Linked DNA regions of Saccharomyces cerevisiae S288C. The protein of the gene in region 2 interacts with the protein of the main gene of each other region in a biochemical or structural test. Each region holds a gene or a part of one and is shown on either strand. Other genes may lie near its edges.

The links. The genes of interacting proteins can lie anywhere in the genome.
Region 1: the proteins of VPS4 (region 2) and BRO1 form a complex in vitro, tested with the Saccharomyces cerevisiae proteins (3 studies listed by BioGRID).

What each region holds. Positions count from the first base shown.
Region 1 is NC_001148.4:392,281-397,072, reverse strand, and holds BRO1 (Bro1p), read right to left. Parts: upstream 3,036-4,792; coding exon 501-3,035; downstream 1-500. Other genes in the region: tRNA splicing endonuclease subunit SEN54, read left to right, coding at 1-371; COPII coat assembly protein SEC16, read right to left, coding at 3,419-4,792. UniProt on the Saccharomyces cerevisiae protein: Class E VPS protein involved in concentration and sorting of cargo proteins of the multivesicular body (MVB) for incorporation into intralumenal vesicles. Fusion between endosomes and the vacuole will then target the cargo proteins to the vacuolar lumen.
Region 2 is NC_001148.4:885,898-889,554, forward strand, and holds VPS4 (AAA family ATPase VPS4), read right to left. Parts: upstream 1,941-3,657; coding exon 627-1,940; downstream 1-626. Other genes in the region: YPR172W (pyridoxal 5'-phosphate synthase), read left to right, coding at 1-501; CSA1 (Csa1p), read right to left, coding at 2,146-2,811; DPB2 (DNA polymerase epsilon noncatalytic subunit), read left to right, coding at 3,077-3,657. UniProt on the Saccharomyces cerevisiae protein: Involved in the transport of biosynthetic membrane proteins from the prevacuolar/endosomal compartment to the vacuole. Required for multivesicular body (MVB) protein sorting.

The sequences.
Region 1 (4,792 bases), 490 kb from region 2:
TCGAATTTTTAAGCGAAATCGAGGATGATGACGATTGGGAGACAAACTCCTACGTTGAAGATATCCCACGAAAGGAATATATTCATAAGAGGAGCGCGAAATCTCAAACTGAAAAAAGTGAGTCGTCTATGAAAGCAAGTTTTCAAAAAAAAACTGCACAGTCTAGCACGAAAAAGAAGAGAAAGGCGTACCCACCTCACATACAGCAAAATCGTAGATTGAAGACGGGATATCGGAGCTTTATTATCGCTATTATGGATAATGGCCTTATTTCGTTTGTAAAAATGTCCGAGGCTGATTTTGGATCTGAAAGTGTATGGTATACACCTAATACTCAAAAGAAAGTAGATCAAAGATGGAAGAAGCATTAAAGGGACTTTTGCTAAATCGCAGTTTCTTTATCCTTGCAAAACTGGCTTTCAACAAATCCGGTATATATATAATTATCATATTAGTTGAAAAAAAAAAGCTACAATAAAATTAAGAAATAAGAAATGCACCTAACTGCTGTATTTGGAGTACATATTTTCATCAAAAACAGAGGGTCTATTGTAAAAGGACGTAGGATTCTCTTGCAGTTCACGTTCTTCGTTTTCAACTGCTTTACGTCTTCTCAAGTCGTACATATCCTCTTGCGATTGTTTCGGTGGTACTGGTGGGGCTGCCATAGTAGGCGTTGCAGCATATGGCGAAGCTTCATAAGTTCTTGGTGGAATACCGGGTCCTTGAGGTAAATCACTGCCGGCACTTATTTTGAGATTTTGAAATTGGTCCCCTAAATTGAGCCCTTGTCTAGATAATGACTGAAAGGCTGCACTTTTTTGGGGCAGTAATGGAGGACCCCCAACGACAGACGCTTTAGAATCAAGTGGAGGGAGGGGAGGAGCGGGAGAATTAGCTGTTGAATCCTCGGTCTGCTTTGCAACTCTCACTCTTTCTGCTAAGTCTCTACTCATATTGAATAATGAATCATAGAACTCTATTCCTTTTGGCAAGTCGGATGCAAAAATACTGAATGATTTCACTGCTTCTTGCAGCTTATCAAAAAAATTCTTACGATCTTCTAAAAATTTTTCTTCCCCAGAAGATTTATCCTTGAAATTTGAAAGGTGAAAAATTTCATCTAGCTTGGCTTTGATGTCATCTATCATTGAAGATTGTTTGTAAATTGTCGCCTCTATTCTTGTGCTCAAAGGCTCGAATTTCTCCAGTTCCACCTCGAATAAATCTTTGAGCTCAACATCGGATTTCCCCTTATTAATAATTAATAATTTTGTGATATCATCGTTGTTGATTTCGTCTCTTAGTTCAGACAAATTTCTCGAACGTTCCTCTTTCAATGTTCTTAAGTCTTCCGCATGGCCCTTTACTTGTTTTAACAACTCTAATATCTTGTCGTTTTTGGTATCATCGATATCCAATAGGCTAGGTTGTGGAGGCGTATTGCGATTAAATTCGTCAAACTTCTTCCATATTTTTCCATTGTCATTCAATAGATTGATCTCGACAATATGTGGTTTTACGCATGCGAACAATTTTTCGTCTGAGTTTGAAGCAGCTACTAAAGAAGATTTTAGTTTTGTAACATTTTCTTTTTGATCATTGGGTAAGGCAGAAAGGATTTCTAAAATTTGTTTCCTTTTGAAAACAATTTTGTTCATCTGTTCTTCTATATCCCTAAATTCATTTGTTTGGATAAATTTACACCATGTCTGAATTTGGTCCCTCATCAATTGTCCCTGTGTATCCGTATTCGAGAAAATATTTCCGTCACTAAATTGTTTTTCCAAATCACTCAAGAGCCTGGGTAGATTTGTAAATTCGATGAAGGAAGAATATTCCAAATTTGCTGTCTCAGTTTCTTCAACTTGCTTTCTCAACAGCGTCGCTTTTTCTTCTGAGTAAATACTTTCCTTTTCATAGACATCTAGGGGAATAATTCCTCTGTACAAAGAGTCACATTTATTTGCAACATCTTGCATATATGGTTCTAATATCTTCTCCCATGTTGGAGATTTTATTGCATCGAGCGCCTTAATGGAATCAACCTGCACAACGGCTGGAACGCTTTCATGATATATAAAATCGTTATCTTTAATCAACTCCTTTTGTTTCTTTTCTAAAGTTTCTTTAAACCCATCAAAGTCTATAAATTCCACTAACCACGTTTTGAATGGAAGGGATGAAATCAATTGTTGCATAGAAAAATCGAGAAAAGCAATTGCTTCGCCAACTCTATTTTCTTCTTCAAGGTGTAAACCGTGATAATAAGCGCTTAACGATTTGTAGAAATGCAGTTTGCAAGTAACTGTCGTTTTCCATTTGGGTTCACCATAAATGGCCACATCGTCATCTATTTCTTTCATAAAATCGTGACATTTCTGAAAGAGGTTACACGTGGCTCTAGAAAGTTTACTGATTAATGTATATTGCTTGGATGATATTTGATCATTTAATAATTTCAAGACAAACAATTCTTGAGCTTCTGCATGGCAAATATTAGCCAGAAACCTAGTGTTTTCTGACTGAAGATCGACTGAAGGTGAGTTCAAAAAATTTTCTGATAGATATTCAAAACAGGAAAAAGCTTTTGTCAAATTTGCGATTGAGTTTTTGTAGTCCTCATTGATATTCTCCCTCGCAATTTGGGTAAAGATTACAGCAATGTTGAACAAAGTACAAGACTTTTCAAATGCTAACGTATGTTGCGTGTATTTCAATCCTTTCTGGGCCGATGAGTATTCTGCGTCATACCAAGTGAAATCCATTTTTAATCTTGATCCTTTGCTACCCAGGCGAAAATAAAGATGCTCCAAAAATGAGTAATATTTTAGATTTTGTTCCGACAATGAAGAAGGTGCTAGTTCTCCATTTGCATTATTCCTTAAGTGATCCAGTTCTGAAGTAGCTTTCTCATCATAAAATGTTCTCCATTGTGAGGAGCCGTATGATTTCTTGAGATATGAGGAGAGGCCTTTTTTCCAATCCAGCTTCTCTGTGTCTTTTAGCTTTAGGTCAAATAAGTAAGGTTTCATGAGTAGAACCAGTGAGTAATGAACCTAGTAATGCTCCAGTCAGCCGCTTTCTGATTCAAGATTTTTCCACGACAACCCCCTTAGTACTTCTTCGAATTGTAACTGAAGCCTTGCTTGCTTTCTGTTTCTCGGTGATCCTAACCCGGAACCGGCGTCCTGCATTAATCGAAGCAAGAAAATGAGGTATGATAGAATAATATTAGTATAAGCAAAGTTTCAGATCGCATTCATCTGATTTCTTACTGACAACGATGCATAACCTAAATACGGATTCCTGTAATCATTGTTTTAATAAAATTTACTACGGTTTTTATAAGTATATAATATACATCAAGAAAAGGGAAGGCATAAGGGTACCATGAAAGAAAAACGTATTACTATAATTATTGTATGTTATCCATTACATTAACATAGCCTCTCGCTGTTTTCTTCTTCCTTCTCGTACTTGCTGGTTTGGGTCCTCCTGCCAAACTCAATAAATCATCCAAACCGTTTGCCTTTTTGCTAGTCAAGTTTACGCCAGAAATCCTTGATATGGGAGAGGATGGTGATGGAGAATTGTTTGGATTGGGTCCTGTAGGAGAAGGGGATGTTTTGATCGGCAAAGGCTCACCAGTGATTGGATTGTTCGGAATAACTGATGTGGCATGTACTGGAGGTAGGGAATTATTGATGGGGCCTGAACGTGGCTTTGTCTTTGGGCCGCCATCTTTACGTTTCACGATTGGAGGAGGTGGTGGTGCCGAACTTTCAATAATTTTTTGTTTTTCCTCTTCGGTTGCGTCCTTATTCACCCAACGTTTCAATTTTTCATCATAGTATAGTGTGTTTTTATGACCTAGCTTGGCCTTATACACTTTTTTGTCGCCAGTATCTTTCTTCAACCAACCAAACCAACCATTAGACTTGTCATCTATGTCCTTGTTACTTGGTTTTGTTTCCTTTTTCATATTCACATTCTTTTTTTCTTCCTTTCTGTTCTTTGCCTCATCAGTAGACATATTGTCGTCATCGGATTCATCTTCAATAACGTCATTGTATTTATCCGCATCTGATTCCAACGGTTTAAAAGCCCTGTATTGGTTAGTTGAAGCCTTCCTAATAGTAGGTTGAAAAGTGTCTTTCTCGACGACTTCGGCTTTCTTTATTGGGCTGAATCTATTTTCTGAAGCAACATTTCCATTACTTTGTGCCTGGGATGTTGATTCAGATAATTCGAATGAAGCAGTTTCATTTGCTTGGTTGACCAAAGGAAAGTATTGTGATGGATTGGATGCATGTGCTTGGTGAGTTCTTGCATATATAGCAGGCGATGTTTTCAGAATCGTTGATTCATCGCCATCTGCACTAGCGGCAGTTGATTGAGGCACGTATGGTGAGTAGTTCATTTTGGTTGCGTCAGTACTTTTTGGCTTTGGTGGTGCCATATGTTGCTCCACAAGTTTGGATGCTTTATTATTAACATTTCTTGGAACATCTTGCACTTGAGAAATTGGTTTAGCTTCCATTGAAATACTTCCTGCTGGCAAGTATGTGGATTGAACTGTCTCTGAGATACTGTTTTCATCCTGAGTTAGCGGTCTGTTTTCGAGTGACAATCCACCAGTTGATGGTAAATATGCTGATGATGCTGATTTTGAAATGTTTTCTGGCTGCTCCTCGCTACTTCTTTCATTTTCAATGGAGGGAAGTGAATTTTCCATTTTCGATGCATCAGTACCCCGGACCTCCACGTTAGTTTGAAGAATCGGTTGGAT
Region 2 (3,657 bases):
GCATTGATGAACTATATCTATGTGCCAGGTGAAAAACTGTTCGGTCAAACAGATAATAAGAATGACTACATTATATTTGTTTCTCCTCAGGACACACAAAAGTTTTACAACATCAAGGAGAACCCTAAGGTCGCCCTGTTGTTTCACGATTGGATCATCGCGAATAATTTGTCAGTGGGCAAGGAAAGCATCTCTGGGACTCCGACGCCGACTTCTATTCCTCATGAAGAGCAACGTCAAAGCGAGCTTTTAAATTTGTTACAGGAGTTAAATCAAGCCGAATTGAACCAAATGAGCGCATCTATTGGTGGCGAAACCGAAATTGTCAATCCTGAAAGTGAAGAATCCAAGTACTATAAAGATTTAATACTAAAGGCTAATCCTGATGCGAAAGCTTTTATATTTGAAAAGAACACCGCCGTTGTTAAAGTTAGAATTGATAATGCTAGGGTATCCAATAATGAGAACAGAACAATGTTTCTAAGTAAAGGGAAGAGTTAACTGTCCTCTGCTTTTCTTTATCTATTTTGCATACGATTCTGTATTTAATTATTCTGTTTTTTTTTTTTTTTTATTTTTTATTTTCATGTACACAAGAAATCTACATTAGCACGTTAATCAATTGACTAGTTACCTTCTTGACCAAAATCTCTAGTGAACTGTTCTTGCTTCAGCAAGTCATCCTCATTCACGGTAGGTCTCGTCGATTTGATAGCCTTTAAGAAATCCTTTATGGTGAGATCTGGTTCTTTTAATTCATCAGCTTCAATATCCGTCCAACTCATCTCGATGGCGCCATCATCACCTGGAGAGCATGGTGTTAGTTTTCTTGTTTCGTCGTCCTCCGTAGAGACATCTTTGAAATGTGTCGCGCTTTGAATTTTTCTTATCGGTTGCATTAGCGCATCTTTCACCACTACAGCAATATCACTCCCGGAATAACCTTCAGTCATTGCACCTAAAGTTCTATAATCTTCCTTGGTCAATACGCATGGAGTGTCGCCGACGTTAATCTCGAACATGGTGGTTCTTGCCGCCAAATCTGGTAATGGTATATATATTCTTCTTTCAAATCTTCTCCTGATGGCACTGTCCAGTTGCCATGGGATATTTGTTGCGCCAAGGACCAAAACACCTTGGGAGTCATTCCCAACACCATTCATTTGTACCAATAATTCTGTTTTAATTCTTCTACTTGCTTCGCTCTCTCCTTCTCCTCTGGTACCTGTTAGCGCATCCACTTCATCTATAAAAATAATAGAAGGTTTATTTTCTCTTGCCATCGCAAATAACTGTTTGACAAGTTTTTCAGATTCACCCATCCACTTAGAAACCAAATCACTGGAACTAACACTGAAAAAGGTAGAATTGGCCTCGGTGGCCACTGCTTTTGCCAAATATGATTTACCTGTACCTGGTGGTCCGTACAATAAGATTCCCGAAGTGGGCTTACGGTTACCTTTGAACAAATGTGGGAACTTGACAGGTAAAATAACGGCTTCTTTAAGGGCCTCTTTGGCTCCTTCCAGTCCAGCCACGTCTTCCCACTTAACATTGGGCTTCTCAGACAAAATAGCACTCGATAAGGCACCTCTTAGCTTTTTGTTGTCTTCTCCACCATTATCCTCACCCTCTTCCTGAGAGATTTTCTTATTACCACCGTTGGAACCACTACCAGCGCTAGGAGATTTCTTTGCCGCGTTTGCCTCTTCACTTTCCAAGTGCTTTTTCAACTGCTCTGCACGGTTTAGATACTCTGTAAACTTCGCTCTTATCAAATCCTTCGACTTAGGGTTTTTCTCGTATTTCAAAGCCAACATCAAATAATCTAATCCGTTATAGTATGCTGTATACGCCTCCTCATACTGCGTGGCTGTGTCCAGGTCAATGGCCTTTTGAACCAGTTCTATTCCCTTAGTTAAAAAATCTCCCGTGCTCATTTGTACCCCATCTACTATAGGCACTCTATGCTGCTTTATTTTTGTCTTCCATGTCCTCAACCCACGATTAAATCGTTCGATATCATGAAGTTCTTATTTTTTTTTTTTTTTCACCCAGCGGGGGTACCCGTAAAGCAATACAATAAATATCATCAAGCAAGAATAAATAGATGTACAGAAAGAACAACCATGACGTGTTGTGTTTCTATTCAGCGTGCGGAACCGAATCCTCAGTCGGAGATTCTCTGAGAATGTTCGTTTGAGGAAGCTTAGGATACTTGGCGTAGAAGTTGGGGCCCTTTGGGGGCTGTAGGGAAGAAACTGGTCGTTGGCGCGACTGGAGTGGCGACATGTGAATCGGACTTGAAGTCACTAACGGGTTTACTGCTCTTACTGGCGAAGGTGGTAAATTTTCTGTCGGTTTGAGGTTGTCTCGCTCAATATTTTTCATGTCTCGACGAGACTCCAGGTATCTTTGATCGATGTTTGCGTCGTCCAACACCGACTGCAACAGATGACACTTTTCCTTGACAAATTGTAGTTCCTTTTGTGTAGAGTGCAGCTGCTGCCGCAATTGCGCAAACTTTGCTTGCCATTGTAGAGGCACACAATCCTGAGAATTTTTAGACAATGGGACAACGCTTTCTTCTTCCTCATCTGCGGGAGACCCCCATACAAACGCTTGGATCTTGGCAAGAGTCTTAGCAATATTGAATCCAAACGCGTGTTGTTGAGCCCTCTTTTTGGAGATATTCTTGTAGTTTTTAGAACGTGTCCTTTGTGAAGCGTGTCTAACATGATTTCTTTCGCGAGGCACAACCACCAATTTGCGCTCTTTTCGTATCCCCAATGTCTTTTCCTGAATTCCCATTGTGATCTTCAATGCCAACCCAACCTTCTTTTTACTTTGTTGGGTCTAAATTATGTTACTTTGTCCATTTCATCTCTTTTCAAGATGGAATCTAAAAGAAGAAAAACGACAAAAGGAACAAAAGTGATGTGACGCGTTATTTTTCGCGTGACATAATAGAAAAATATTTCAACTGGGCATCTTTAACACATGTTACAATAAAGTTGAGATGACTTGTTTATGCCTTTAAAGTTTGTAAGTGGAACTAGAAGCGTCTATGTGTGAAATGTTTGGCTCTGGGAATGTTCTGCCTGTTAAAATTCAGCCTCCGCTGCTTAGGCCACTGGCGTATAGAGTTTTATCAAGAAAATATGGTTTATCAATTAAATCTGATGGACTGTCTGCTCTTGCAGAATTCGTTGGCACTAATATAGGTGCTAACTGGAGACAAGGGCCTGCTACAATAAAATTTCTCGAGCAATTTGCTGCAGTATGGAAACAACAAGAAAGAGGCCTTTTCATCGACCAGAGCGGGGTTAAAGAAGTTATACAGGAGATGAAAGAACGTGAGAAAGTCGAATGGAGTCATGAACACCCTATTCAACATGAGGAGAATATCTTGGGACGGACAGATGACGATGAGAACAACAGTGACGATGAAATGCCGATCGCTGCTGATTCATCCTTACAAAATGTTTCATTATCTTCACCCATGCGACAGCCCACCGAAAGAGATGAATATAAACAGCCTTTCAAGCCAGAAAGCTCCAAGGCGTTGGACTGGAGGGACTACTTCAAAGTTATCAATGCTTCTCAGCAACAAAGATTCTCATACAATCCGCACAAAATGCAATTTATTTTCGTCCC